4 linked regions of the Ovis aries genome follow. The protein of the gene in region 3 binds, or shares a complex with, the protein of the main gene of each other region. Links are inferred from orthologs where the notes say so. Each region holds a gene or a part of one and is shown on either strand. Other genes may lie near its edges. The genes, in order: PKN1, MAP3K20, NOD2 and MAP2K3.

What was found.
Region 1: NOD2 (region 3) and PKN1 share a complex: the UniProt entries of both Homo sapiens proteins name them as parts of the signaling complex. The link is inferred for Ovis aries from reciprocal best matches to the Homo sapiens genes NOD2 and PKN1.
Region 2: NOD2 (region 3) and MAP3K20 share a complex: the UniProt entries of both Homo sapiens proteins name them as parts of the signaling complex. The link is inferred for Ovis aries from reciprocal best matches to the Homo sapiens genes NOD2 and MAP3K20.
Region 4: NOD2 (region 3) and MAP2K3 share a complex: the UniProt entries of both Homo sapiens proteins name them as parts of the signaling complex. The link is inferred for Ovis aries from reciprocal best matches to the Homo sapiens genes NOD2 and MAP2K3.

Annotation. Positions count from the first base shown.
Region 1 is NC_056058.1:9,645,308-9,653,258, forward strand, and holds the start of PKN1 (serine/threonine-protein kinase N1), read right to left. Parts: upstream 4,022-7,951; 5' UTR 4,008-4,021; coding exon 3,969-4,007; exon of another isoform or gene 3,859-3,968; intron 2,865-3,858; coding exon 2,561-2,864; intron 1-2,560. UniProt on the Homo sapiens protein: PKC-related serine/threonine-protein kinase involved in various processes such as regulation of the intermediate filaments of the actin cytoskeleton, cell migration, tumor cell invasion and transcription regulation.
Region 2 is NC_056055.1:136,652,774-136,659,961, reverse strand, and holds part of MAP3K20 (mitogen-activated protein kinase kinase kinase 20), read left to right. Parts: intron 1-2,162; coding exon 2,163-2,279; intron 2,280-5,048; coding exon 5,049-5,123; intron 5,124-7,188. UniProt on the Homo sapiens protein: Stress-activated component of a protein kinase signal transduction cascade that promotes programmed cell death in response to various stress, such as ribosomal stress, osmotic shock and ionizing radiation.
Region 3 is NC_056067.1:18,634,285-18,641,472, forward strand, and holds part of NOD2 (nucleotide-binding oligomerization domain-containing protein 2), read left to right. Parts: intron 1-2,455; coding exon 2,456-2,539; intron 2,540-4,544; coding exon 4,545-4,628; intron 4,629-5,693; coding exon 5,694-5,777; intron 5,778-7,188. UniProt on the Homo sapiens protein: Pattern recognition receptor (PRR) that detects bacterial peptidoglycan fragments and other danger signals and plays an important role in gastrointestinal immunity.
Region 4 is NC_056064.1:34,994,077-35,001,989, forward strand, and holds the start of MAP2K3 (dual specificity mitogen-activated protein kinase kinase 3), read left to right. Parts: upstream 1-3,020; 5' UTR 3,021-3,174; coding exon 3,175-3,223; intron 3,224-7,913. UniProt on the Homo sapiens protein: Dual specificity kinase. Is activated by cytokines and environmental stress in vivo. Catalyzes the concomitant phosphorylation of a threonine and a tyrosine residue in the MAP kinase p38.

The sequences.
Region 1 (7,951 bases), on a different chromosome or scaffold from region 3:
AGCTGGGGGCCACAGGGTCCACTCCCCACCAGCCCTCATAGGGAAACCCTTTCAGGGCTGGGGCAGGACCAGTGTGAATGAACACAGGTGTGTGTTAGTCGTTGGTGTGATCGTGTATACCTTTGTAGAGAAGGTATATACACCCCAAAGATGTGCAAGGCTGTGTAGGCGTCAGCGGGTGTGGCTGTGGTTAAGTCTGTGACCTTCAGGGTGCTGGCATAACTGAGTGTGTCTCCCCAGGTGCCAGTGTAACTGTGAGATGTGAGGTGTTAGAATGCCTCTGTGAGATTCTGGGTGATGGGGATGGCTCTGTGCACGTCTGCAACTGTCAGCAGAACTGAGCATTCAGATCTCCTGGCGCTGGTGTGACAGCATCCGAGTGCTGGAACAGCTGGACATGTATGTCTCTGGACAGCTCTGTGTCAATCTCCAGAGAGTGGTATGACCATCAGAGGCACTCTGGGTACAGCTGTGACAGGATGAGGTTTTGAGCGTTGGCTGAACTCTTTCATTATCTTCAAGTGTTGATCCAATAGTGTTGCTGCTGCTGCTAAGTTGCTTCAGTCGTGTCCAACTCTGTGCGACCCCACAGACGGCAGCCCACCAGGCTCCTCCGTCCCTGGGATTCTCCAGGCAAGAACACTGGAGTGGGTTGCCATTGCCTTCTCCAAGGCATGAAAGTGAAAAGTGAAAGTGAAGTCGCTCAGTCGTGTCCGACTCTTAGCGACCTCATGGACTGCAGCCTACCAGGCTCCTCCATCCATAGGATTTTCCAGGCAAGAGTACTGGAGTGGGGTGCCATTGCCTTCTCCGTCTGATAGTGTTAGCCTCCAGCTATTGACACACCAAAGAGGTGTGTGGGTGTTGGGCTAAGTGATGCTGAGTCTCAGGTCTTGTCCAGTTGACTGTGTTAAGTATCAGGCTGTTTATGGGTTGGTAAACTCCTGTGGCAGCGGCTCTGTGTGTCTGAATCTCTGGGTGTTGCTGTGAGCGTGTGTGAGTCCTCAGGTTTTGTGTGTGTGTTGGTGTGATTGCGTATGCATTTATCTGGGCACTGGCTGGCAGTATGGACGTCTCTGGGTATTCACAGAATAATGCTGCTACTGTTTAGTCACTCAGTCACGTCCGACTGTTTAGCAACCCATGGAGCGTAGACGGCCAGGCTCCTCTGTCCATGAGATTTCCCAGGCCAAGAATACTGGAGCGGGTTGCCATTCCCTTCTCTGGGGGATCTTCTCGACCCAGGGATCGAACCCACATCTCCTGCACTGCAGGCAGATTCTGTACCGCTGAGCCACAGGGTGGGCCCTCAGAGTAGTCTGGGTGCTGGCGTGACTGTGTGTGAGGGTCTCTGGCTACTGATGTGATGTGTGTTACATCTTTTAGTTGTAAGATGAAAAAGTTCTGCAGATTCCTTGCACAAAAATGTGAAAATACTCAACACCACTGAGCTGTATGCTTAAAAATGATACGTTTTCTGTAATGTGTTTTTTTCCAAAACGTTTTATTTTATATTGGAATATAGGTGATTAAGGGACTTCCCTGGTGGCTCAGTGGTAAAGAATCTGCCTGTTAAGCAGGAGATGCAGGTTCAATCCCTGGGTTGGGAAGATACCCTGGAGAAAGAAATGGCAACCTACTCCAGTCTTCTTGCTGAAAAATCCCATGGACAGAGGGGCCTAGCAGGCTGCAGTCCATGGGGTCACAAACATGGGGTCTAAACGGAAGCAGTAACAACAGCCAACTAACAACGCTGTTATACTCTCAGGTGTTGTGTTTTTTTAATCACAATTAAAAAAATTTTTTAATCAGTTGGAGCCTATAGGTGTTGTCTAGGTGTGGGTGTGATTGTGACTGTGACTGTGGATATTTGTGTGATACCGTGTAAACCCTTTGGTGTTGTCCAGGTGTGGGTGTGACTGTGACTCTGGATATTGGTGTGATACCGTGTAAGCCCTTTGGTGTTGTCCAGATGTGGGTGTGACTGTGACTCTGGATATTGGTGTGATACCGTGTAAGCCCTTTGGTGTTGTCCGGGTGTGGGTGTGACTGTGAGTCTGGATATTGGTGTGATACCGTGTAAGCCTTTGGTGTTGCCCAGCTGTGGGTGTGACTGTGTGTACCTTTCCCTGAGTGTTGGTTTGGGCCTTTTGTCTGCCTGTATTGGGGCCTCCCAGGTGGCACTACTGGTAAAGAATCCGCCTGCCAATGCAGCAGACGCAAGAGATGCAGGTTCAGTCCTGGGTCGTGAAGATGCCCTGGCGAAGGAAATGGCAATCCACTCCAGTATTCTTGCCTGGGGAATTCCACTGGACAGAGGAGCCTGGCGGGCCACAGTCCGCAGGGTCACACAGAGTTGGACACGACTGAGCACTTGTCAGCAGTGATAGCAGCCACCTGCATTTTCAGGTTGGAAGCTGCCGTGACCGAGTGTGTCTCCCTGGGAGGCAGTGGCAATGGGCTGGCCGGCCGCACCCTGGGACACAGTGGGTGAGCCCTGGGCAGTGGAGGCCCCCAGTCCCGCATCCCCCACCCCCCAGCCCAGGGAAGCCTGGCTTACCGTGCACGCCCACCGCGGGGTCGGGCAGCACCACGTGGGCATGCAGCTCCTGCAGCTGCTGGTGCAGCAGGTCAAGCCTGCGTGAGGAGCCGCGCAGCACCAGCTCCACGGGACCGAGGTTACGGCCCAGGTCAGTGGTGGCTCGCCGCAGGTTCTCTGCACCCTCCTTCAGCTTCAGCTCCTTACGGATCTCCCGCCGCAGACGCTCCCGCTCCAGCTCCAGCTGCTGCTGTACCCCAGGGGCTGCCAGGTCGGCACCTGCCAGGCCCAGCTGCTCCAGCAGGGACCAGCTGCGTGGCTCACTCTGCGGGGGACGGAGCAGGGTCAGTGGGGCCAGAGCGGCTCTGGCAGTGCAGACCACATTCAGCTGACCTGGCCCGGCCTCCTCCTGGGGGGGGACTACTGACACAGGCCCTGCTCCATGTCCTCCGACAGTCCCCCAAAACTGGGAGGTGAGACAAGGCCCTGTGCCTGCTTCCTGACACCTCCAAACTGTGAGGTCCCAAGGGCAGGGCCTTCTCCTTGCCTGTCACCTCAGACAAGAGGACCACAGGTACACTTCAGTCTTCCCTCACTGTCCTCATGCAGTGGGATCCTGCAGGGCAGATTCCATTGCCCCATCACTGGGTCCCCACAGCTCGGGGTCCCCAAGGTCAGGCCCTAGCTCTCCTTCCACTGTCCTCCCAAATTAGGGGGGCCCAAGAACAGGCTTTGTCTCCCTCTGTTGCCCCCAAATGACCAGGTCCTGAGGGGAGACCCCCTCTCCCCTCTGCTGCCCCCCTAAACTAGGAGGTCCCAAAGGCAGGCCCCATCTCTGCTCCCTTATGCCCCACGTTAGGAGGGCCTGAGGGCAGCTTTCATCTTCCTTCTGCTGCTCCCCAAATGAGGAAGTATCAAGGGCAGGCCTGTGATGCCCCCCAGACCACAAGGTTGGGGTTCCAAGAGCAAGTTCCTTCTCCTCTTGGCTGTACCCTTGAACTAGGAGGACCTAGGGACAGGCCTCATCTATTCCCTGCTGTAACCCCAAACTAGGAGGACCCAGGGCCAGGCCTTGTCTATTCCCTGCGGTAACCCCAAACCAGGAGGGCCTGGAGACAGGTTTTGTCTGTTCCCTGCTGTACCCCCTAACTTGGAGATCCGGGGGCCAAGCGCCATCTCCCCTCCTTTTGTCATCTACAACTGGGACCCCAAAGAAAAGAGCACTGTTCCCTTCCTCCTCTATCCCCCCAACCTGGAAGCTCAAAGGGCCCCAAACAGTTTCATCTTTCAAACAGAAAACTCCAAAGCCAGCATCCCACCTCCTCTCCTCAGTCCAAAACCAAGCGGTACCGAGGGCAGGGCCCCTCCGGCCTGTGCCACTTGGGGTCCTCTTCTGCTGCCCCTCCCCCACAAGGACCCCAGCCCCCACCTCCAGCTCCGGGTCCAAAGGGGGATCAGCCTCCGCCATCCTGGGCCCCGGCTGAGGGCCCCGCCCTCTTCCTGAACCTCAGCCCTGCCAGGGCCTCTCGCCTGCTACTTCCTCTTTCCTGCTGGCTCCCAGCAACCCCTGCGAAGGCCAGCTCTGGGGCTCTGGGGCATCAAGAGCACCTTCCTCTCAGCCCCCACTCGAGGGCTGAGCCTGCTTCTCTGGGGTCATCCCAGGGGTGGCCCCTCTGCTCCCTGTCCTGAGGATGCCCAAGGTGTACGCAGCAGGCACACACACACGGGCCCGCTAGTGTGGACATGAAGAACAGCCTTCCCCACATATAGCTTCCCTACAACACACTTATACACCTACAGGCATCACAGGCTGGCCAGTGTGTGCCCACCCCCCACCCCCTGTATATACTTATATACACCAACACCCACAAGTGCTTACATGGGCGGGCCAGCCCCTTTCCTGTCCCAACTTCCGGCTTCTTCTCAGCTTGGTTGCCTGCTGCTGCTGACCACAGCTTGGAGGCCTGGGGGCCCGGCCGGCCCTGCGGTACCTCCCTGAGGCCCACATCATGAGGAGACAGCTCTGCAGGGCTGGAGTACCAGTGTCTCCACTTAAGCTCAAGTATGATTAAGAACCATGGAGGTTACTACAAGCTGCACACCAGGTCAACTAACGCCATTCCAGGAGGTGCTACTATCACTCCGTTTTCCAGATGAGGAAACCGAGGCCTGGGGCGGTGACCTAACTTGCCCAAAGCCTCATAGCCAGCAGGAGACAGAACTAAGATTTCCAACAAGAGTGCCCAGAATCAGAGCTAGTTGTCAGCCAGGCAGGAAGAGCCCCGCATATATTATCTGCCGCCACGGTGAGACCCCATTTCAGAGATGAGGAAAGTCAGGGTTCACTCTCGATCAACTTCAAGGGCAGCTGCCCCCAGAGAAGATTTACTTCAGGCCTAAAGTGTCACTCCCATGATCCTACTGACCCCTCAATTTTATCCTGAGCAGCTGCCATATTTCCCCTCCTACTTTACAGGTGAGGAGACTGAGCCTCAGAGGGATGGCAGCAGCAGTTCTCAATGGCGGAGGGGATTGCCAACACTCCCACCTCACTTCTGGGGGCAGCTGGCAATATCCAGAGCCATTCTGGGTTGGTTGTCATAACTGGGGCTGCTACTAGGCTCTATGGGGTTGAGTTCATGGAAACTGCTTGACATTCCACTGTAAACACGAGAGCCTCCACCTCCAAGAATGATTCAGCCCCAAATGTCAATAGTGCTGAGCTTTAGAAACCCTGGATTAAAGGACACAGACTCACACCCTGAGCTGCTGGCCATGACCACTGGTAAGGATTTCACAGCAGCCCTACCTGCAAGGGGCTGACCTGGTCTACGTCCTTCCTCACCGTGAAAACTCTCTTGGCTACATTTTTTTTTTTTTTTCAATTTTGACGGCAGAAACCAAGGCTCAAAGAGGGAATGGCGCTGGGCCTAGGACACACTGTGACGAAGTGGCAGCTCTGGAATTTACACCCAGGGTCACCTCCTACCACCTGCTATCAACCAGGTCCCACCGGCCACCCAGCCCCACCCTGTCCCCAGCAGGCAGAGCAGCGGTGCAGCCAGGAGCGGGGCCAGCTTGAATGAGGGGAGTCCGGGTTTGGGGGGAGGAGCAGAATCCCTCAGCCCCACCTCCTCCAGCAGCTGAGGGATGAGAATATGCAAAGGAGGGAGAGAGGGAGGCTGGGCCTCCCGGGTTCTCCTTCCTTGGATGACTCACTCCTATCCAGGGCAGGGGTCACCTGAGGGCCAACGAGATGAACCCATGAATCAGGAGCCTGGCCTGGCCTTGGGGAATCCCCAACACCCTCCAAGAAGCAGAAAACACCTCCCCTGCCCCAGGTCCAGAGGGTCCACTTCTCAGAAATTCCCTCTTCCTAGAGTGACCAGGGATCTAGACCCCATGTCCGGAGATTTCAATGCATTGGGCGTTTCTGGAATCCGGACAGGACATCCGTTTGCCGGACACAGAACAGACAGGCACACACACTGGGACAGACAGAGGGACAGGGGTAGCAGACCCAAGCAGCCACGAGAGAGAGAGGAATGACTAGGACGGGGTGAGGGTGGTGGTGGGGTGGGGTAGGGGGAAGAGAGCAGGCAGGAGACGGGAAAGGGGACCAGGGCGCAGGTCCAGCCTCGGTCCAGGAATCACAGTCTCCGTCCAGGCCATGTCTGCTACATGCCAAACGCATGCATGTGCCAGCGGAGTCCTACACTGTCCTCCCAGGGCTGATGGGGTAGAGGCAGGGACCCAGGCCCTCCCCAGCCCCCAAGGTCTGACCTTGTGTGATCGGCAACACCAGATACGCCCAGCTCCTCGGCAAGGCTGGCAGGCCATCAGCAGGACTGGGGCGGGGGACAGGGGGTCACGGGGGAGACACAAAGGGGATGTGGGGGCAGGTGCAGAAGGAGATGAGAACCCAGTTACACAGCAACCACAGGACGATGGAGAGCTGATGAGGCACTGTGGGGGCACCGGAGGTACAGGACATGTCTCAGATTTGGGTCACTGACCCAGAGAGGTTTCAGCAGTCATTCTGGCCCTGCTTACCACAGGCAGGGCAGGTGAGTCCCAGGCTGCGATGTCCACAAGGTGGCACAGGGAGAACCTGGGTGGGTGGCACTTCGGTGTCAGTCACCTGTGCCTCTGTGTGTGTTGATGTGTGGGTTGTGGGGTGACCCAGTCCAGGCAGGATTCCAGGTAAGAGAATCCCCAGTTCATTGACATGGACACTCCCCACCCGGAATCCTGGGATAAGGTTCCACCTGGCAGCCGAGTGGCTGGCTGTGTGGGTCCCTGGTCCCCAGACCTAAAGAGGTGACTCTGGCACTTCCGCCAACAGGTGCCAATCTGCAGCGTCGCGACCATCGTAAAGCTCAGTCCGGAGGTGGGGGTGCCGCCGCCGGAGCTTTGTTGTGCGTGGGGGAGGGTGGGAGAAACGGGGCGAATGGCCTGCGCCCTTCCCGGGGCATCGCGCCAGGCACCTGCTCAGGTGGAGCGGCACCTGCCGGGGAACCGAACGCTGAGGAGAGGGAGCGAGCGGCAGGGTCGACTGGCACCGGGATGCCCAGCTAGCCACAGACACCCGAAGTCGAGCCTCCGCTGCGCCCCCTCTAATTCTCAGAGAAGGGCGGAGCTGGGGATGTTGTAGGACTCCCCTCGCTCCCCCACGCTCCCCCGTGCGTACCTCCACCTGCCGAGGAGACTGCGCTGGCTCCACGGTGCTGGCCCTGGGAGGGGGCGCCTAGCGCTCGGGGGAGGTGGGGACCCGCCCTGGCCGCCCCGATCCCGGGAGCGCCGGCGGTGCGCGGGCGGGGGTCCCCAGCGCCGGCTGGCCGCTGGGCGGCTGCGAACGCAGGTGCGCCTACCTGCACAGCGTCGCTGGCCATGTCCACACGCAGCCCGCCAGGGATCCCCGCGCGGAGGGAGGGGCGCTGAGAGGAGCGCGCGTGCGCCCCGCGCGGGGCGGGGCGGGGGGCGGGCGCGGCGCGACGCCCCCCGCAAGGCGCAGGGCCGGCTCCGGCCTGCTCGGCTCGGGCAGCGCCTGGCCTGGCCGCCGAGTCCGCGCGCCGCGCCCTCCGGCCCCAGCGGCCGCCGGGCCCGGTCACGTGACCACCGAGGTCGGCGCCTGGGGAGGGGGCGGGGCCGAGGGGGCGGGGCTCCCGGCGGCCCCCGGGGCTACGGGGTCCCGGCTGCTCGTGCGCCCCCCCCCGGAGCGGAAGCTGCCGGGTCGGTTTCGCTCGTCTTTCCTTCTTTCGGATTTCTCCCTTTTCCCACGGGTCACCCGATTGAGCGCACGGGAACCCAGAGAAAAAGAGGGAGCCACGTTAAAGCAGGGAGCGGTGGAGGCCTTTGGACCTCCCTGGACCTCCTCTCAAAAAAACAAAAACAACTCATTTTCTCCCTGTG
Region 2 (7,188 bases), on a different chromosome or scaffold from region 3:
ATCCAGGGGTCAAATTTGGTGCACAGACATGAATTTCTTTTTCCTTTTAATTGCATACATAGTGTTTGTCCCCCAACATTTTTATTGCTGCATTTTTCTAAAAGCAAAGTTGAAAAAATGGTATAGAAATTCTTGCATACTCACCTCCTAGATGAAAACAGAAGCATTTTATTCTACTTGTTTTGTTACATCTCTCTATCCTTTGCCATCTATCAATCCTTATTTTTTGATGCATTTTAAAGTAACATGTAGATATCAGTATATTTTCTCCTAAGGCACACATGTTAAGTATACACACTTAAGTTTTAACAAATGCATACACCTTTATAACCCAGCTCAGCTTCCCTGGTGGCTCAGTGGTAAAGAATTCACCTGCCAATGCAGGAGATGCAGTTTCTAAGCCTGGGTCATGAAGATCCCCTGGAGAAGGAAATGGCAACCCACTCCAGTATTCTTCCCTGGAGAATCCCATGGACAGAGGAGCCTGGTGGGCTACAGTCCAGGGGGTCGCAAAGAGTCAGTCACAACTTAATGACTAAGCAACAATATAATCCAAACTCCTATCAGTAGAGCATTAGCATCCTTGGACACTCCCCTCATGTGTCTTCCAAGTCAACTGCCATCTGCAGAAAGCAACCACTTTTCTGAATATTTTCCACTGTAGGTTGGTTTTGTCTATTCTAGAAATTCATGTAAATTGAAGCCTTAAGTTAAGGTGAAGTCGCTCAGTCGTGTCTGACTCTTTGCGACCCCGTGGACTGTAACCTACTAGGCTTCTCCGTCCATGAGATTCTCCAAGCAAGAATACTGGAGTGGATTGCCATTTCCTTCTCCAGGGGATCTTCCCAACCCAGGGACTGAACCCGGGTCTTCTGCATTAGAGGCAGACGCTTTAACCTCTGAGCTACCAGGGAAGCCCCAGTTTGTTCTTTTTCTTATACAAGATTTCACTCACTGTAATGCTTTTGTGATTTATCCATGTTGTTGCATGTATCAATAATTCATTCCTTTGTATTGCTAAGTAATATCCCACTCTATGAAAATATCACAGTCCATCCATTCTCCTGTTGATCAACACTTGGCCTGTTTCCAGTTTTCTTTAGCTATTATGATACAGCTGCTCAGAAGAATACCATACAAGTCTTTTTTCATTTCACTTGGGTAAATACTTGGAGTAGAATTTGTGAGTCATAGAGTACATATATGGTTAGTTATGTAATAAATTGCCAAAACTTTTCCAACAGTGATTTTTACCATTTACACTCCCACCAACAATCCAATAGCTCCAACTCACAACCAACATTTGATGTTCTCAGTCTTAGCCACCTGGTAAATGTATAGTGGGATTTCATTATGATTTTAATTTACATTCCCCTGGTGATTAATGCTGTAGAGCACTTTTTCATTACATCATCGTTTTACTGAAAATTTAATTAATGTACTAATATTTTAAAAACCAAGAGGTTTCTTATAAGAATCAGATATCCAACTTTTTATGAAACGTTTAAGGACCTGTCAAGACTAGGCTCATATTCCCACATGGGAAAAATCAACAGAAGATGAGCGGTGGCTGCCCCTTTAGGGCAGTTACCCTTTAGATCCCCAGAGAGTCGAACCCTTCCCCTAATGCCTAACCCAATGGTTGGGCTAATTATCCATTGCCATATAGCCTCACATTTCCTGTTAAGAAGAAATGAAGCTATTTCTTGAATCTGTGTCATTATTAATACTGGGAAAGTGAAAGGTAGATCAAGAGAGTCTTATATTTCAAAATAGTGGGAAGACCACATTGCTTTGTGTCAGTGGGGAAATATCCCTACAATGTTTAGCATGTAAATTAAATGGGTCTATTTTGAAAGGTTACAATTTAAGGCTCTTAGCTGCCTGCCTTACTCATTTTTATCTGCCTGGCCCCTTTAAGGTGTGGAGTTTGCAACTCCTATTATAGAACACTTAGAAGAGGTAAATGGCGTCTCAAGACTGCCCCGCCTGGGGGTTATTTATGTATAGAATGAGATCTAATTTCACATTCTTTTACTGATAAGGGGGAAAAAATTCCAATAATACTTCATTGAGAATACTTCATGTGTTATAAAACATTGAGATTTTTTTAAAAAACTGCTTTACTTTCTCAAATTCTATAATTTTTCTTTTAATTCCAGGACTGTAAGTGGAAAATGTATATGGAGATGGATGGGGATGAAATTGCAATAACCTACATCAAAGATGTGACTTTCAACACTAACCTACCTGATGCAGAGATTTTAAAGATGACAAAGGTAGGGTTCTATTTACGGCTTAAAAGCTTTTTTGAATTCACAGATATCAAACAAAGACATTAAAATACCCCAGTGGTATGCTTTTGTGCTCATGATGTTCATACCAGCTCAGCTTCAAGCTGGCTGTTGAAAGGCACATTTTATTTAGCAGATTGAGATCATAATAGTTTTTTGTTAAAATTCCACTTATGCTGTGTGAACCAAAAAGTACTACAGAAAAGTGTCGTTTAATTTTTTTTTTAACTTTCTTCTACATTTCTTTAGGCATATTCTGTCATTTATGAAAGAAAAGAAAATGCTAATGATGAAAATATTTACCTTGAATTTTTGGGTCATGTTAAACTTTAAAAAACTTGTCAGGAGAAAGATTTCTTGAATTTCTGGAAGTACTGGGATGAGATTATTCAAAAGGCACATATTGCAGTCTTCATGGTTTCCTTGAATTCACCCCTGTGAATTCCTGGAGTGACCGGACAGTATCTTACTACTGTGAGGTCAATAGTAGAAGCACACCCATTAAAACGCTAAAGACAGACTTAGAGAAATGCTTAGCTTCTCTTCAAAATAATCATACTGAAAACATACATATAAGACTTCAATTGTAGAAGGTCAACCACTCAGGTAAATAACCACGATGTCAACAGGACAGTTACCCTAAACGTCACAGAAGGCATGAACTCTACTACACGATTGATTGCGTATTTGGTTTTAGGGAAGAAAATGAGGCTGGCAGCAACAAGCCAGGGTGCAGACAAAAAGAGGGAAGTGAAAAGAGCCTTCAAATCCCCAGCATTAGACTTGCAAATGTGTTCCCTTCCCAGGCACGAGATTGCTAACCACCCAAGTGTAAAGAATCCGCCTGCAATGAAGGAGACCAGGGTTCAATCCCCGGGTTGGGAAGATCCCCTGGAGAAGGAAATGGCAACCCACTCCAGTATTCTTGCCTGGAGAATTCCATGGACAGAGGACCTGGCGGGCTATAGTCCATGGAGTGGCAAAGGAGTCAAACATGACTGAGCAACTAACACTTTCACTTTTAATTTACAAGCATATGCAGGTAGATTGACTTGATATTCTTTGTTGGATTGCCCCTGTGTACTAAAAGTTATGTTAGTTATCTGTAAAGGTTATGATCTGCTTTCACCTTTCCCTTATTCCGTTGGGACAGACTATGTTTTGGTGTCTGGGAGCCTGGACACACACATACTTTCTCTTTCCTCCCCACCTGTGCTGTCTCTGGTTGCCGCCGGTTGTTTGTGGCTTCACTGTCACTGAGAAGCAAGTCACTGCCTGCTAACGGAAGGAAGTCACTCAGAGCAAAAATAACAGGGTGGAGTTATAAAACTAACATAGGTGTTTCTGCTCTAAGGCTATATATGCATTCCAGGGGAACTGTATCTTCTGCAAAATCATGCACCAACATTAACAAGGCTTATGGGGAAAAATAGGACTGGGCTGGACCATTCAAAATCTGTAGGACTTTTCAGCATCAATGGAAACAATAAAAAATCCTAATTAAGGAAAGAAAAAAATACCAAGGTTGATTCTTGTCCCAGGAGAGACTAGAATTTGGCTCCACACCTAGACAAATTTTGTCACTAACTCTTGCCTCCCATCTGTTCCTCTAAGGGCCCATAGTCTTTCCTAAAAATCAGTTTCTCTCCTCCAAGGGGCCTATGTCTCCCTCTTCCCTTTCCTCTATAAACATGGCATTGAATCCTGAATTCTTTGAATTACTCATTTTTCCCTGGGTATTTCCCGTGTATACATGAGGTATAAATGCTAATAAACTTCTCTTTGTTTTCTCATCTTAAAAAAAAAAAAAAATCTCAGTTAAATCTCTACCAAATTTGCTTTGTACCCATCTCATGGTCAGCCAGTCATTTGCAACCTTAAATCTGGAATGACAGGCTGGGGGGTGGGAAGAAAGTATGGAGATTCACCTCTAATAAAGACCACTTTCATCTCACTTAAAATAGGACCCAAAGCATAGGCTTTCTTCATTACTCATTTATCTCAATGTAGTGGGGAATGACCCACCCACCCCCAGTTTCACTGCGCCCACAATGTTGCTGGGTATCCTGATATAACCAGAAAGCAGAGTGGTTATGAAACCTCTAAACCAGCCACTGCCTGCACTCAGAAAAAGCACTTTAGGGTCTTCTTAGATTGTTAAGGATTTTTCTTAATTGTGAAAAAGCTTTCTGAGAAGTCTTCCAGATACAATCATGAGTTAATGATCTAATGATACAACTGAGAGATGCATGAGAAAAGAGAAGATTGTGGGAGACAAGATTAGCTGTTTACAAACATATACAAGGATGTCTTATGAAAACCAAACCCCCAAAGATCAGACATTAGCATGTTGTGAGTAATCACATGGGAACCAACAGGGCTTTTCTAATAATCTGACATCATGGCGTCCATGATAGCCTGACATCACACCCTACTTACCAACTGTGTACAGCATGACTGGCCTCCAAGAAACCTACGCTGTAGCAGGGCAGGCTGTATTAAAGCAGTTGTTGTTGCTGTTTAGTCTCAATGTCTGACCTCTGTGATCCCATGGATTGTAGCCCGCCAGGCTCCTCTGTCCATGAGATTTCCTAGGCAAGAAGACTGGAGTGAGTATCCATTTCCTTCTCCAGGGGATCTTCCCGACCCAGGGATTGAACCTGTGTCTCCTGCATTGCAGGCTGCTGCTTTACTGCTGCGCCATCAGGAAAGCCCGTACTATAGCACTACACCTTTCTAACTTCTGTTTTTCAGCCCCCATTTGTAATGGAGAAGTGGATTGTAGGAATAATGGAAAATCAGACTGTAGAATGCACTGTCACATATGAGGTAAGCCTGGGTAAAGGGTAGGGGAGAGGGGGCAAGGCCGTTGGCTTCACCATCAGTTTCTCCAAAGGGGTTTTTATTTGCTGCCTCAGGGTGTTTAGCGTTTATTGGAAGAGAAGCTATTTAACCAACATGAATATAGGGAGATCAATATAATTATTCTAACAAAGTAATGAAAGGAATGAGAACAGGGTGCTTACCTAGAGATTGAAGGAGTAATTCATTAATCAGTTAATCATTGAGCACCTTCTGAATACAAATGGATGCGTGTGTGACATACTAGGGATATGGAACAATGAGTGCAGGCAGTGGCTGGTTTAGAGGTTTCATAGCCACTCTGCTTTCTGGTTGTATCAGGATACCCAGCAACATTGTGGGCGCAGTGAAACTGGGGGTGGGTGGGTCATTCCCCACTACATTAAGATAAATGAGTAATGAAGAAAGCCTATGCTTCGGGTCCCAAACAAAGCTCTGCCTTCTTGGTGCTTCGAGTTTAACGGTGAGGGTAGATCAGTGAGTGAGTCTTCACAAGGACAGGGTACAACTTCTATTACTACCATCAAAACCAGATTCCATATATTTAATATATGAAAAAAATTGAAAGATGTACAAACAAATATTTTAGAAATATTGGTTTAGAGAAACAATATATTTGTTTTAGAAAAACAATGTTTGTTTTAGAAAAACAAATATTTTAGAAATAGGTGCTATTAAAACTAAAATTCATATATTTAGCAAGTACCTACCAACAGGTACCATTCTGTGATTTGTTTGTTTAGTCACTAAGTCATGTCTGACTCTTTGTGACCCCATGGACTGCAGCACACCAGGCTCCTCTGTCCTCTACTGTCTCACAGAGTTTGCTCAAATTCACGTCCATTGAATAGGTGATGCTATCATTCTGTGATTAGGGTGGACTAAATCTAAATCTATACTCTCTCAAGGTTTATATATACTCCAGTGGAGGGTGATAGATAATTAATTAGTAATGTCAGAGTGCTAAGTGAGAATCACAAAATAGTGAGACTTGGGGCATTAGAAAATAGTGAGACTCGGGGCATTAGATTCAGTGGTCAGGGAAGACCCCTCTTCTCAGTGTGAGGCAGCAGGGAACAGCAGAGGAAGGGCAAGTACAAGTCTGAAGCACAGAGGACATGACAAGGCTAGAGAGGTGGGCGGGACCGAGCATAGTGCCTCCTGGGGCCGAGGTGAGGAGTTTGGACTCACTGTAAACACCATGGTGGCTGTTCTAAGTATTCTGTTGCTTTAAATGATCTAATTATGCTTTTGAAAAGAGCAACATCTTCATGGTGGTGGAACAATCTGCTTCACAAGGTAGAGAAACCCTAGTTTTCTCTACCTGGGAATGGAATGGAGGGAAATAGTTACAGCAGTCTTGGCACATATGGAGACATGGTTAGTATGCATGTAGTTAGTATGCAGCTACCCTCAGTAGGACATGCCTTTCATTCATTCACTCCCTTATTCATCTAAGAAACATTTAGCAAGGATTTACCATGACCTAGACACTGTAAGAGGAACTTACACCTGTGTTATTTCAGTAACCTTGTGCAAATACTCAAAGATAAGGACCACTGGCTTCATATGGCAACTAGGGAAAACCGGCTCAGAGAAATGAAGGGTAATCCCAAGGTTTGGGGGGTTAGTGAGAATCCGTGGGGTCACCAAGTTCCTCTGAGTGTGAATAGTTTCCAGCCTTCCTTGGCTGTTCTAGCCATTCCCTTCCCAACAGCAAGAGGAGGGAAGTCAGCCTCGAATGGACTCCATATGCTGCTGCGTAGGGATGGTCTTCTGAGCTGCCACGGATTAGCATTTTAACACGAGAAGTCCAAAGCCTGGCCAGTCCACTTATTCAGGATGACCCGATATTGGAAGCCAGTTAGGATGACAGCAATGATTTATCCTCCCAAGCCAGGGTACACTGCCTATAGGAATGAGGCACCTGAGAAATAGCCTTAATTGTCAAAGCGTGGCTTGCAGGACACAGACCTAAATAAAAGAAGTCGACTGGTCTTGAGGAACTGGGAACCTGGGAATCTAGAGCCTG
Region 3 (7,188 bases):
TAAAGAACATGCCTGCAATGCAGGAGACATGGCTCCAGTCCCTGTGTTGGGAATATTTCCTGGAGTAGGAAATTGCTATCTACTCCAGAATTCTTGCCTGGAAAATTCTGTGGACAGAGGAGTCTGCTACAGTCTATGGGATCACAAAGAATTGGACAGGACTGAGCAACTAACACTTCACTTTCTAGTCTGGAAAGGCTGAGTTTCTGCTGCTCCCCACCCTCTCAGCCTCAAGGGGAATCTCTTTCCCATCTGACACCATTGCATCATCCCCCAAGCTGGTCCATGGGTTGGCCCAGCTTCTTTTTCTCTTTGAGATGTTCTTGCCTCCTGGGTTTATGAGGCAGGGTGGTGGTGGTTCATTCGCTAAGCTGTGTCCAACTCTTTGTGACCCCATGGCCTGCAGCACACCAGGCTTGCCTGACCTTCACCATCTCTTGGAGTTTTCTCAAACTCATGTCCATTGAGTCTGTGATGCCATCCAACCATCTCATCCTCTGTCACCCCCTTCTCCTCCTGCCCTCAATTTTTCCCAGCATCAGGGTCTTTTCCAATGAGTTCTTCACATCATGTGGCCAAAGTATTGGAGTTTCAGCTTCAAAGTGAAGAATTGCTTCCATGCATTTGGGGGTGAGCTGCCATTTTAAAATTGTTGACTCCGTCTCGGGCAGGGCCACTGAGGCCAACACCAGAGGCACCATTCTGTACTGAGGACTCTCTTCTGCCTCCACCACCTGCCACCCTCAGCTCAGGAAGCCAAGAGCGGCTGTGGCCAGAGCTGGGCTGGTGCAACCTCCAGGGAGGGCTGTAGGGTAACAAAAGGTACTGCTCCCAGAACTTGAGAGGTCTGTGTTTTGGGTTAGTATAGCATCTCAGTTGAGAGCAGGGCCCTGGAGCCAGACTGACCAAGGTTTGGATCCAGCATCCCTGAGACCTGAATCCTCACAGTGACTTCTGTTTTCTGTGTCTCTGTTTTCCCTTCTATGAAATGGAGAAAGTAATTACAGCTCATAGCTCATAGGTAGTTGTGATGATTAGAAAGTGAAAGTTGCTCAGTCATGTCCAGCTCTTTCTGATGCCATGGACTGTAGTTCATGAAATCCTCCAGGCCAGAATACTGGAGTGGGTAGCCTTTCCTTTCTCTAGATGATCTTCCCAACCCAGGGATCGAACCAGGGTCTCCTGCATTGCAGGCGAATTCTTTACCAGCTGAGCTACCAGGGAATCCCAAGAATACTGGAGTGGGTAGCCTATCCCTTCTCCAGGGGATCTTCCTGACCCAGGAACTGAACCAGAGTCTCCTGCATTGTAGGCAGATTCTTTACCAGCTGAGCTGCCGCGGAAGCCCTGTGACGATTAAACAAGTTAATATACATAGAAAGCTGGCATAGTATCCCAGGTTCTTTCCATAGTGGACTTAGTGCCCTAGAGATGGTGGATAAATCACATAAGTTCTCAGCGTGTTGATCCTGTTTGTCCAGTCCTCCAAGGAAGGATTTGCTGGGGGAAATCCCTATGGGGGGAAATTGGGAAAGGGAGCTGGAGGGGGAGGCTGGGAGAGCCGCAGGTCTGACCGTGAGGGAGAGAGAGAGGGAAGGAAGGTTGTCAGGAGGAAGCATCTTGGACCCCAGTGCAGTTTGGAGAGAAGACAGAGGCTGCTGGGGAGTCCTCCAGCCAGTGTGCCTGACAGAGGAGGCTCAGGTCTCCCAGTCCTGGGCTGGGAGCAGCCCGTGGGAAGCAGGCCTTGGGGCAGAGGGAGCACTGGACTTGCCAGCACAGCAGCTGGGGCCCTTGGTCACCCAGGAAGGTCAGAGGTCTGTCAGCTTAAAGTGAATGAAATTTCTTTGAAAGATGAAACTGGCAGTATTATTCCAGGAAGCCTGGAGCTGTGGGTGAGAGTTCCGGGGACCTCCCTGAAACTCTCTGAGGTGCCCGAATTTTGCCGAAACCCCCTCCTCCGCCCTTGCCTGAAGGCTTAGCAGGATCCCTTTCTTTCTTTCAGCCACCAGAGCGCCACCCCCCAGGCACTTTCAAAACAGGTAGATGCCACCTGCAGCCACCGTGGATGGGGCAGGCTGCGGGAGGAAAGCAGGGTCCAGCGCCCGCCCGCAGTCAGAGGAGAGGGTGGAGGAGTGAGTCACTCTCCCTCCCTGGGGAAGCCACCTCCCTGGACTGTCGTGGTTCCTGCTCCTACCTGTCACAGCGCTTTGCAGAACAGGCCCTTGCATGCCTCTCCCCTTGCTGGTGGAAAATGAAGTCGCAGGAGCATTCAGTGAGCCCCCGAGCTGCAGCAGCACACGCCGCGTCTCCAGCTGGAGCTGGAGGACTGGTCCCTGTTTCTCTGCCTGGGCCACACTCCCTGTGCACCCCCCTCCCCAGGCCCGGGTCTTGGGGCCCAGTAAGGGTCCTCCTGCCCCGCTCTCTGTCTCAGTCTCTCTTCTGTCTTCCCTTCCAGGCTAGGAAACAACCACATCACAGCCGCGGGAGCCGAGGTGCTCGCCCAGGGTCTCAGAACTAACAACTCCTTGCAGTTTTTGGGGTAGGTGGGATTCTAGGGTAGAGGGGCAGCACGCAGGGGTTGAGGGCTTGTGAGGATTTAGGAGCCTGTGAAACCAACTCTTCAGCCCCAAGATCTCCGAGACAACCCCCACCCCCTCACCCCCCCTCCCGCCTCCACCCCCCCTCCTGCCTCCACCCCCAACTCTCGCCTCCACCCCCTGCCCAGGCTGCAATGGGGAGGGAGAGCGTGGGCAGCCCTTGTTGCCTCTGCCTTGCTTTTTGCTCAATAAACAGGAAGCTCAGGATGTCAGGGTTGGGGGAGGGCAGAGCCCAGAGCAGTGGCAGGAAGCCCTCTGGTCCTCCAGAGCGCTGGAGCTGTGTTTCTTACCTTGGTCTATATGTGGGAACCACTGGGCTCCTGAAGAAGGCCACTATCTGCCCCAGGCTAATTAAATGAATTATCTACATGCAAGGTCTGGAATCAGTAATGTAAAAAAGCTTACCAGATGATGTGCAGCCTGGGGTGAGAGCCAAGGAGAGAAGGAAGTGGGGAAGTTTGGACCCTGGACCTTGGATGGGAGGAGGCTGCACCAGGTCCTACAGAGCCCTGGCTTCCTGTGGGGTCATGCCAGGCAGGGGAGAGGGGTCGGACACAGGCGGGAAGGGCAGTCCACAGACCTCCGGGCCCCAAGTGGGGCTTTCTCTGTTTGCTGGGCAGACAGGCTTGTACCTGTCCAGTCCCCTGGAGCTTCTTTCCTGTTCCATCTTGCCCTGGTGTAAACTAGGGTCTATTTGAAAACAAAACAAAACAAAAAAAAAAAAGGGGGGGATTTTAGAACCCAAGACTGTAGGAAGAATGACTTTAGAGCCTAGGTGTTCCAACTCATTTTACAGACAGGCAAGTTGCCCGTGGGCTGTGTTTGAGCCCCGAGTGGGACTGTGTTGCTGGAGAGATAAGACCTTGTCCAAAATGCATTAGTAGCATCACAGAGTCTAGGAGAGGGTGGCCGCGGCCCCCACTGAGCTCCTTCCTTCTTGAGATCACATCTGGGGTGTTTAGCTTTCAACACCTGTTTATGAAGGTACCTGTCTGGTCTTGGTCTTGTGCTAAAACCCTCAAGCACTATCACGTGATACAAACTGTTATGTAACTTGCTTTTTTCTTAACACTGTATTATTATACTGTATTATAACACTGTATTATTTTGTTCATATCACATGACCTCACTTTTAAAAAGAATAGCTGCTCAGTATTCCAGTGGTTTGATGTCGTGATGTGTTTAGTTGGTGTCATGCACACTTTAGGTTGTGGGCAGGTTTTTGCTATTACAGTGTCACACCCTGGAGTGTAGAGTGGTGCTGGCATGGGGCCAGAGCTCAGTAAGTGTTCACCTTATGAGTGAAAGTGCAGTGAGCATCCCAGTCCTCTCTGCCCATGTGGGCACCTCCGGGTCCATCCTCACTTCCCACATGGGAAATGGCCAGGTGCCAAAGTATGAGCTGGGCTCCATCTTTGAAGGGGGTGTTTCCCAATTAGGGTGGGTCTGAGGAGGAGAAGCCAGAAGGTGAAGGAGCTTGAGGCTCCAAAGGAACTGGAGGCTCTGAAGGAACTGGGGATATAACAGAGGAGCAAGAGATGAAGAACTAGTGTTTGGAAGAAGAGTTCGCCTTCTTCTGGGTGGTCCTAGAGATAGCGAGGGACTCCTGGGTGGCAGTGAGCACAAGCAGGTCTAACCCAATGTCGGAAAATGTCACAACTGTGACTTGGCATTGAGAATGAGTCCCCATCCCTGAGAATATGCACTGGGTGGGCCTCTAACTATTTTGAAAGTCTGATTTAAAGAAACCAAAAAGTCTAATTGAAGTTTTTCCATCCCTCCAAAAAGATGGAGGCAGGCTCACTTTGCTGGGACCTGAGTCCCCCTGAGACCTTTCTGGGACTGGGGAGTCCTGCTCCTCTGCCTGGGGCTGCAGAGAGGAGGGGCACGTGTCTTGAACACAAAGCAGGTTCTCACTGACACTGTTTATTCTGTTGAACCTTTCAGGTTCTGGGGCAACCAGGTGGGTGACGAGGGGGCCCAGGCCTTGGCTGCAGCTTTGGGTGATCACCAGAGCTTGAGGTGGCTCAGGTAAGCCTCAGAGTTCGTCCTGCAGTTGGTGGGGGAAGCCAGTGTGAGGAGGGAGGAGCTTGGGCCAGTTTTGAAGGTCTGTGAACTTTATTTTCACCCCACTGTGTTAGATAACGGGATGAGAAGGAAAGAGCACTGGAGTTGAAGTCAGGACACCGGAGTCTTGCTGGGTGACGTTGGATCCCTTTTCCTCTCAGGAGTCTTGATTCCCTGTCTGTACTCAGAAGATCTTGGGCTGGATCAGATAGTTTAGTCGCTCAGTCGTCTCTGACTCTTTGAGATCCCATAGACTGTAGCCCGCCAGGCTCCTCTGACCATGGGGTTCTCCAGGCAAGAACACTGGAATGGGTTGCCATTTCCTCCTCCAGGGGATCTTCCCAACCCAGGGACTGAACCTGGGTCTTCCACATCTTCTGTGTCTCCTGCATTGCAGGCGGATTCTTTATCCACTGAGCCACTGGGGAAGCTCTGGACCAGATACACTTTTTAAAAATCATTGTTTCCTTTAGGCTGTCCTGCGTCTTTGTTGCTTTTCTCTAGTTGTAAAGAGCGGGGGGCTGCTCTCTGGTTGCAGTGCAGGGTTGCTTTCCTCTAGTTGTAAAGGGCGGGGGCTGCTCTCTGGTTGCAGTGTGGGGGCTTCTCTTGTCGTGGAGCACGGGCTCTAGGGCACGCGGGCTCAGTGGTTGCTGCACGTGGGCTCTAGAGCACAGCCTCAATAGTGTCATAAGGGCATATGGGATCTTCCTAGACCAGGCATTGGACCCGTGTCTCCTGCACTGGCCGGTGGAGTCTTTACCACTCAGCCGCCAGGGAAGCCCTGGATCAGCTACACTTTATCTCAAGAGTCAATTCCAGTCTGTTAGTGGGAGCTGCTCAGCAAACCATGTTGGGAAGGATTCTAAAAAACTGCTTCTGGACTTAATGAGAAAGAGCACTGCAAAGGATTAGTCTGAAATGGAGCAGACCAGGACTTGTGGCAATGTGTGCCGTGCATTTTGCCCTCCTTGAGTTATCTTTGAGGTCCCTCACTGCTCTGACATATTTTTGTTTTTTGACTACATCCAGCCTGGTGGGGAACAACATTGGCAGCGTGGGTGCTCAAGCCTTAGCATTGATGTTGGAAAAGAATATGGCCCTGGAAGAACTCTGGTGAGTTTAGGGGATTCATTTCACTAGGGAAGCAGACACCAGCCTTTTTTCATTCTCTGGCCTCATCTGTGGAAGCTGATGTGTGTATAAGACAAAGATGGATGACTGAGTGATTGGGTGATTGTGTTTGTCTTTGTCCTAAGTGGCATGAAGTTTATAGAGCCTGGCTAATTCTTTTCATTGAATTTTTCAAGCCAGTATGATTGGTCTGTTGGTTTGTGAGCTTCCTCCATGGCATATAATAGTTCAGAGCACAGACTCTGGAGTCCAGCAGGCTGAGCTTCAAGTCCTGCTGTGATCTTAAGCAAGCTAAGTAACAGTATCTGAATCTCAGGTTTCTTACCTGTAAAATAAGAGTATGGATGCTTTCAACTATTACATACTTTTGTGAGAATTTAATGAGATAACACCTGTAAGTAGCTTTGTATAGTGTCTGGCATATGTGTAAGTGCTCCATAAATGTGAAATTGTAATAGGATAGTGTCTCAATGGACATGAACTTGAGCAAACCCCAGGAGATAGTGAAGGACAGGGAAGCCTGACATGCTGTAGTTCATGGGGTCGTAGAGAGTCAGACCTGACTTAGCAACTGAACAACAGCAAATATTTCTACGACTGTTGCTGCTACTACTACAATGATTGCTGTTGCTACTGCTCCTAGTGTTTTGCTGTTTCAAGGCGAATGTGAGTGCCTAAGAACCCCGGATATGAGAGTCAGGGTCATGGGCAAGGTGGAATAGTTTGGGGGAGGTTAAAAGATGAACCATGAATCATATTTATCCTGATTCCAAGCTTTCCACCCTTTAGATGCCACTAGTCTAGCCTTCTTATGACATACTCTGGGCAGTTCCAAATTGTATCAAGGAGATAAAATGCTGAATGTTTGATTTTTTTTCCAGGAAGCATAAAGATACTGAAACCTATTGAGCATTGCCACAAAATGGATATTGCTGATGGTTCTTGACTGTCAGTAGGGTTCACTAGCTCAGCCAATGTACCATTGAGTATATCCTGATTAGGCTCCACAGCTTGGAAATCCTTGTTAGAGAATTGCCCCACTGTGAATGTATTGGTTATGACTACATTAGGCTGTATGAGATGGAAAACCTCCATCTAAAGTAACTAAAATCAAAAAAAATGTACATGCAGTTTGGAGGTAGGCAGCATACGGCTGCTATGGCATCTACATATGCCCAGCAGGAATCTGGACTCTCTCTCATTTTGATCTGTTACATCCTCAGCATGTGGCTTTGTTCTCATGGTTAGTTGCCTCATGGTTACAAGGTGGCTGCTGCAGCACCTGCAGCACTCCTGTATTTCAGTTTCAGCCTCTGTATCTAGGAAGGGCAAAAGCTTGGCTCTCTACGTTTCAAAGAGCATTCAGAGTCCCCGTCTGTCAACTTCTCCTTAT
Region 4 (7,913 bases), on a different chromosome or scaffold from region 3:
CCCTGCTGCATCAGGGCTGTGTGTTCGTGCGTGCGTGCGTGCGTGCGTGTGTGTGAGTGTGTGTATGCGAGTGTGGATAGTGAGTGCGGATAGTGTCTGTGAACGTGCCTGAGCCTGAGTGGCCGCTCCGCGGACAGGTAGACGCTTGTGCATCCCGCTGTACTCACGACTGTATGCATGTGTATCTGGGGCGTGTGCACTTGCGAGTGGGAGGGGGCCGAGGGCGTGAGTGAGCAGGGCGCCTGCCTCTAGGCCTTTGCACACGCCGTTCCCTTCCCTGGGGTGCTCTTCCCTCCCCTCCCTCCCCTCCTGAAGCTGCAGTGAGGCTCTTCCCCCGTCTCTAAAATCACAGCCCCGCCCCCAGAGGCCCGCCGGTCTCTTCCTTCCTTTACCGGGAACACATCCCCTGGCGATTATAATCTAATTTGGCCATTTCGCTTGTGGGGTTCCCTCAAGAGTCACCTCCCAGAGGGCCGCCATCCTGGGCTCAGCCATCCTCTCTCCAGCCCCACCCCCCACCCTGAACCCACCTCCAGGCCCACATCCTGATCTGGCTACACCCCTTTCTCTGAGTCCACATGGAAGGGTGTTGGGGACTTATTTTCTGCTACAGGCACCCTGTCCAAAGTCCCTCCTGGCTTCTGAGTGGTCGGGGAGACCCAGCTTTGCTGTGCTGCTTAGAGGCAGAGGGAGGCCAACAGCCATGGCTGCAACCAGGGAGCTCTGCGTCCAAGCTGGGCTCTCACAGGCGGTCCCCTGCACAGCTCCAACCCTCTGTTTCTGGCTTCTCTACCTGATGAGCTCCTCCTGGTTTTTAAAGGCCCAGTCTCAAAGTCACCTCCTCTGAGGAGCTTTCCTGACCTCACCCAGGTGGAGTCTGGCACCTTGTTCACATGTCTATTTATAGCAGCCCACAGGGAGTTTTGTGATTCTCCAGCTGTATGTCAGGCTCCCTGACTAAGCGTCACCTCCTGCAATGGCAGGCCTCGTCTGAGTCATAGGTGCCATAGGAGCAGGCTGGGTTGGGACAGGAGTTGCTTCCAGTGTCTGCGGCATGCTTTCCATGCTTCCTTTGTTCATTCCTCACATATTTTTTAGGCACCTACTATGTGGAACAGGGTTGTGCAACATAGCATAACATGTCCACAACCCTGGGCTGTGCAACAGGAGTGCTGCAGAGAGCAAGTTGGCAAGATTCCTGCCCAGGATGGTCTGACGGTCCAGAGGAAATAGGAAAGGTGTTGGTGGCGTCAGTGCTGTGCAGAGGAATACAACTGATTTGGGTGCATGGCCAGAAGGCCTCTTAAGGTAGTTCATTTAAGAGGATACCTGCAGGGGACTTCCCTGGTGGCCCTGTGGTTAAGACTTCACCTTCCACTGCAGGGGGTCAAGTGTTCAACCCCTGGTTGGGGTGCTAAGATCCCATATGCCTCCCAGCTAAAAAACCAACAGGTAAAACAGAAGCAATATTGTAACAAATTCAATAAAGACTTTAAAAATGGATCCCATCAAAAAATCTTAAAAAAAAAAAAAAAAAAAGAGGAGGCCTACGGGATGAAAGGGACCAGCTCCAGGAATCATGGTGGAAGGCTGGGGGGAAAAGATGTATCAGGCTGAGGGAACAGCAGAGGCGCAGGCCTCATGGTAGGACCGGTATTCGTGGGTACAAGGGGCAGCACTGAGAACCCGCTAACAGTGCGGGGGGAGCACAAGTCCCAGCGGTTGGCAGGGGCCTGAATCCAGGAAACCTACCGGACCAGGCTTGCAGTCTTGGTGGGGAGGTGTCTGTGCTGTTGCCCATTTTCCAGGTGGGTAAGCAGCAGGTCCAAAGGTCACAAGACCCATTTGGGACCAAGTGCTCTGGGCCACTCCAGACACCCAGGAGTGGTGAGCCCGGGTCAGTTTCCCATAGGAAGTTCACAAACACTTGCTGGGCATCTAGTGAGTGCCAGGCCCTAAGCCAGGCACTTGTGAGCTCACACTCATGAACCCATTTCAGAGAGGTTGCCCTGTCCCTGTAGCACAGGTATGTCAGCAGGCATGGAGATGCTCAGCACCCACCTTTGAGTGGCACGGTTGGCATTTGAACTCATAACCTGCTGAGTCCATAGCTCCTGTCTTTCTGCCCACGCCCCGGGTGCAGGAGGAAATAATGATAATAAGGAGGCCTCACCTTATCTCATCGGGCCTCCTCATCACTGTGAGGGTGGGCCCTATGGCCACCTCATCTTACAAACGAGAAGGCTTCAAGCCTTTCTAGGAGGTGGTGGAATCTGCTTCCCTCACGTGAGGTGCCTGGCAGGTGACACACTCTCGCCCACGTTAAGCGAGGGACTGACCTCGTGACCTCTGCTAGACTGTTCATTCTAGTGACCTGGTCCCAGTGCCAGATTGGTGAGTGGCTCTTGAAATCCCCCAGGCTCCACGTGGGAGCAGGAGAGAGGGCTGGTCCGTCCGGAATGAATAGTCAACAAACACCTTCTGAGTGTCTGCGGAAGCCTGGGTCCCTTCCTTTCAGCAGCGCCCGGAGGCGGGGACGCGGAAACAGGCTCCGGGGTGACACGACTTGCCCAGGTCAGCCTGGCCAGGAAGTAGTCAAAGCGGGATGTGATCTCGACCCCACCAGGGGGCGGGCGCACTTTGACGCCCGCAGCACCCACTTTTCCGCTCCCCGGGCCGCAGCTGGGCGGGCCTGGGGTACCCACGGTTTCTGGGCACTGCAGCCTGCGCACCCGGGGCGGGCCCGGGAGTGGGCTGGGCTGGTTTCCTGACCGGCAGCGGGAAGGACCCGCCCGAGCCCCGAGGGGCGGGGCCTGACGGGTTTCCCGGTGAGGGGCGGGCTTGATAGTCTGTGGGAGGAGCCGCGCCCCGAGCCAATGGAGGGTGAGGCTTGAGTTTGACGGGCAGGCCCCGGATTGCGTTTGATAGGCAGGGGCCGGGCCCGGAGACTGGAGGGCCAATGGGTTCGCGGGGCGGGGCCTACGTCGGCGCAGTCCGGCTGGGGCCCTGCCGCACTGCCCAGTCTGGCCCCGCCGCCTGCCGCGGACACGTCCCTGTTGCCGCCCTGCCCGCCGCCCGGGCCGTCCGCCTGCCTGTAGCCATGAGCGCACTCCGCCCGGGCCGAGCCCGCCACCCCCTGGACTAGTTCTGCCGCCGCCCGGACCCGCCCGCACCATGGAGTCTACTGCCCCGAGCCCGCCCGCCGGCGTGCCCACGTCCAAAGGTAGGAACGCCCGGGCTGCGGACCCGACCTCTGCGCGGTCTCCTGGCCGGGCCCGCACCCGGGCAGCTTCCCGGCCTGGAACCCCTCCCTGATCGGTCTCGGGCCCAGCCCGAACTCTGGCGAAGGTTTCGTTCTGATCACCCCACACCGGGTCAGAAACCTTGCTTGGACCTCCCCATTTGGGCCTTAACTGCAGCATGGGCAGGAATGAACACTCCCAGTCTGGGTCCCTCAGTTGGGTCCCAGGTGGGATTCACTCCCATCTTGCACCCAGCCGCGCTCCACTCCTGCGTCCCAGGGCTGTATGCTGGCTGGGGTTTAACTGCCCTTCTGGGGATCTCTCTGTAAACGCCTCCTCCCATGTGGGTGTCCTGGCTACAGTCCAGCTCAGATCTCCCCTACCTCTCCCCCAAGGCTCTCCATCCTAGTAGGCCCCACCATGGCCCCATTCCTGGCCGTCCTTCAGCCCTGTCTCGGTGAGGGGGAACCTCTCTTGGCCTCCCATCACACCTTACTGCATGGCCTCTCCACTGGCTCTGCTCATCTGGACTTGCAGGCTTCTCTCTGCACCAGGGGAGCTCACCTCCTCTTGTGCAGGGTTGATTGCTACCAGGTCTGTCCCCGCTGTCTGTGGGTCCAGGGCCAACTGCCGGGCGGTTGCTGGCTATGCAATGGTCTTGCTTTTGTCTTCTCCAAGCAGCCGGCCTTCTTGGAAATTTTTGTGAGGTGGCGGCTGCGGCAGCAGGATTTGTCATGCAGAGGGGGAGGACGAGACTTGGAGGGTGAGAGGGGGATTTTTTTTTTTTTTGGCAGGAAAAGGAAAGGATGTTTTTGGCATGTCAGAGTCTCAGAGGGCTGGACTTTGTGAGAGATTTCCAAACCGGACGCATCAGTAATGAATGGGCTGCCCCCGCCTCCCTAACCTGCTGCTTCACGCCAGCAGCAAGAGTGTCCTTATCACACCTACCTTCCGTGGACTTCAGGCGTAGGATGTGAGATAGTGAATACTAAAGAGTTCTAGGCAATTGTGGGTGATGATGATGAGAAGCCTTAGCAGACAGTCTGACTGTGTTACTGTTACCATTTTTCTTGCTGGAAAGGCCCCAGCCATGTGGGATCCAGGCCTTGCCTCTCCTGGATTGTAGCTGCAGAGTGAGGAGGAGAAAGGTAACAGCTGGCCCTTAGGGACCCTAATCAGGGGTTACCCCTGCCTCTCTGGGTGGGGCCGGGGTGGTAGCTGGAGCGCTTGTGGGGTCACAGGGCGGGTGCGGGTCCTCCTTCCCTGCTGCTGCTCCTGGTGGCTGCAGTGGCTGTGGACCCGAGCCCAGCAGGCCAGGTGGAGGGTAATTAAGTCTTAACCTAAGTGGGAGGCTGGGTCCCTGACTGCTGCCTAGCTACTGTGAGTACACGGCAGGGACTTGCACCGCGCCGACCTCGTGGAGCTTGGGAACCGGGAAATCAGACATTTCTCTTCCCCAGCTCCAGGTTTAGGCCTAGCCTGGCCAGGCTGTGAGACCTCAGGCAGGTCCATCAACCACTCTGGGCCACAGGGTTTTCGTGGGCAGAAAGAAGAGATTCAAAGCAGTGTTTGTTTTTGAAGTCCCTTTCTGCTCCTCATCAAAATAAAAATTAAAGTTGCAAGGTTTGGAAGGGAGAGTAGTCAGGCGTATGAAGGAATAAAGCACTTTGGGGCAACACTCATATGCTGTGTGACTTGAGCCCTGGTATTGTCTTCTCTGAGCCTCTCAGCAGAGAGAGGGCCAGGATGAGTTTCCAGTTTCTGGGTCTGGATAACAGATGATGTTGAGTGGGTTGGATGGAGGGTCAGGGGTCTACTCAAGGCCCAGGGACACCCTTAACCTCTTTGGGGTTTGTGGCAACACGTGGCAGGGAAGCCACAATGCCTTCCCCCGAAAATCCCAAACTTTTCCCATGTGCCATGCATTCACCCATGTATGGTTCACAGCCTCATTCACAGACAAGAAAGCTGAGGCTCAGAGGTTTTCAGTGCCTTGCCTGAGGTCACACAGCTGTGGCAGATGGAGGCGGGGTTCTAGTACTCAGTGCCCAGTGCTCCCCTGTGTCCCTTTTCTGTGCTGGGTGCTTGGGCTGAGCTGGTGGGACACTTCCCCTTCCCCCATCACACCTCTGTCCAGAAGCATCTCCTTGAGTCCATGCCTGACCTGGAGGATGGCCTGAGCCAGAGATGGTGCCTTATGTGTGCATAACCCTTTACAGCTGGCACACTTCATGCTCACTGCAGTGAGGCCCATTTGACAGGTGACAAAACTGAGGTCAGACAGGAGGAGTGGCTCGACCTAGCCCCTCCCATAGTGATGTCCTCCTTCACGCCTTCTTGAGGAATTTGGACCAAGCAGGGTGTGGTTGGCACCTGACCTTAGGGAACTTTACCTCTGAGCTTCCTGCCCTGCAGGGGTGCCCTGCCCTGCCTTCCCTGCCCCTGGCCTGGGGAGTTTCCAAGAGTGCATGAGGCCCCAGGCCCCATAGCCCTGATATTTTCCCAGGCCCCCTTGCCCACAGGCCATCTCTGCCCGGGGTCAGAGGCTGAAAGCAGCCAGGGTCAGAGGGCATAGCACAGTCTGGGTCTGCTGCTTCCAGCCACATTTGTCCTTGGGGTGCCCCCAGCTGCACTGTGAGTGCTGACCCCATGGGCACTTCCTGGTTGATCCTCCTGCTGCCCCCTGGGCACACTGAGGCTGCAGGCGCACAGTGTCCTGGCCTTTCCTGCCATGTGGCTGCCCTCCCCTACCCGTCCTGTCCCTGGCTCTTGGAAAGATTGGAAGGTGGCATCTTGGGGACTTTCCCCACCCCTGGCATGACGCACAGGAAACTGTCTATCAGCCAGCCTGTGGCTCAGGGCCTGAAGGGAGCAAAGTTCTCAGCCACTTGTGCGGGGAGAGGGCCGGGGCAGCGGGAGGCTTCCGGCGGGTGAGTCAGCGGGCACTGGGCACTGACTCACTCTTGGGGCATGCCAGCCTGCCGGCTGCAGCTTAAAGGGCCAATGCCTGGCTGCTGGTGGGTGGGAGAGGGGCTGAGTCCCCACCTCATGGGCCGGCCTCTGGTCCTGGGCTGGGCGTGGAGGCAGCCCCCTCCCTGGACCTGGTACGGGGTGGCTCCAGACCCCTGCTCCTGGCCCCTCGCCCATCCCCCCAGGAACTTCCTCTTGCTCATGGAGCTGGAGCAGGTGGTGGTGACTGTTTGCCGCCTTCGGCCCAGGGGCTCCTCCTGCTCAGATGTGCAGCTGGGGGCTCCAGGCTGCAGAGGAGCAGAGGTGCCTTGAACTCCCACAGAGATGAAGACTCTGGTCAGATCCCAGCCCAACCCCTCCACTGTAATGTTGGACGTCCACTGCCCGCTGTAATGCTTTCAGTCCTCTGGCATTGCCCAGCTCTCAGATGCAAGGCCTCAGCTTCTTCACCTGCAGAATGGGTATGGGAGCCCTGCATGCTGGCAGCTGTGAGGATGTGTGTAGACAGCCTCATCCCCCTCGCTAGTACCAGGTACAGGGACAGCAGAGACTGCCCTCTGTCTACGAGGAACCTCAGTGAGACAGGAAGGGGGGCAGAGCCTGGGCTCAGGGGTGGATGGGCCTGTGTTCAAATTCTGACTCGCTCCATTGCTTCCCAGCTTCCTCAAGTGCCCTCTCTGACCCTTAGTCTCCTCTTCTGCAAAGTGAGAGTAACCAACCCCCCATCTCAGAGTGGTGGTAAAGGTGGGAGATAGTGTTTGTCAAACAAATGTCATCTGTTATTTTCTCGTTGTTATGGTGGTGGCAGTTGTTCGTTGGTGGATGAACAAACAGAACAGGGACCTTGATGGTGGACTTTAAGCCCTATGACACGACTCTGGCTGCAGCTGGCACCTGCCAGGCTCTGGTCCCCACACTGGAGCCGGGAGCTTCATGGCCTTTTGGGCCCTCCTGGGGAGGGCTCGTGGGGAGCAGAGAGAATGGGATGGTTGCCTCCCCCACAGTGTGGGGCATGTGGGGCCAGGAGTCAGGAGAGTGGGAACCTCCTAGGCCAGCTGCTCAGTGGGCAGAGCCCCTTCAGGGCCAGGCAGGGCACTTGTTGTGGGTATGCAGGGTTGGGTGAGGACTGTCTTGACCAGGGAGCACCCTGGCTGGAGAAAAGGAGGCGGTGGGGGAGTGATTCTGAAGGTCCAGCTTCAAGGTTTGCCACGGAGCTGATGGGGAGCAGCCGGGAGGCAGGGCCTTGGTGGCCGTGGGGAACGTTGCCAGTGTCTTGGGAGGGGTCACTGTTGGGCTGCAGGGGAAGAACAACACACAGAGAGCCCCATGCCAGCTGGATGAGGGAGGCGGGCTGGGCCTGCCCGGAGCTCAGCTCTGCACGCTGGGGCTCATCGCCTCTAGGGACTGTACCTGCTTCCCCTTGGCGGTGCCTCTTGGAGGTGCTCACAGCATTGCCCACGTGAGTCAGGCTGCTTGCCCAGATGCTTCTGTGGTTGCTTCCCCCTCAGTGGCTCTGGGGACCCCTGCCCCCCAGAAAGGGTCACCAGACTCACCCTGATGGGGACAGGTACCTGTCACCCTCTCCCTGTCCTGAGGACCCCTCTCTAGGGTGTCACTGCAGGCTGAACTGGCAACCCAGGGGTTGTCCTGGCTTCTCTGGGAGGCTGTGTCCAGTCCCCCTTCCCCACCTGGTGCCCCTCC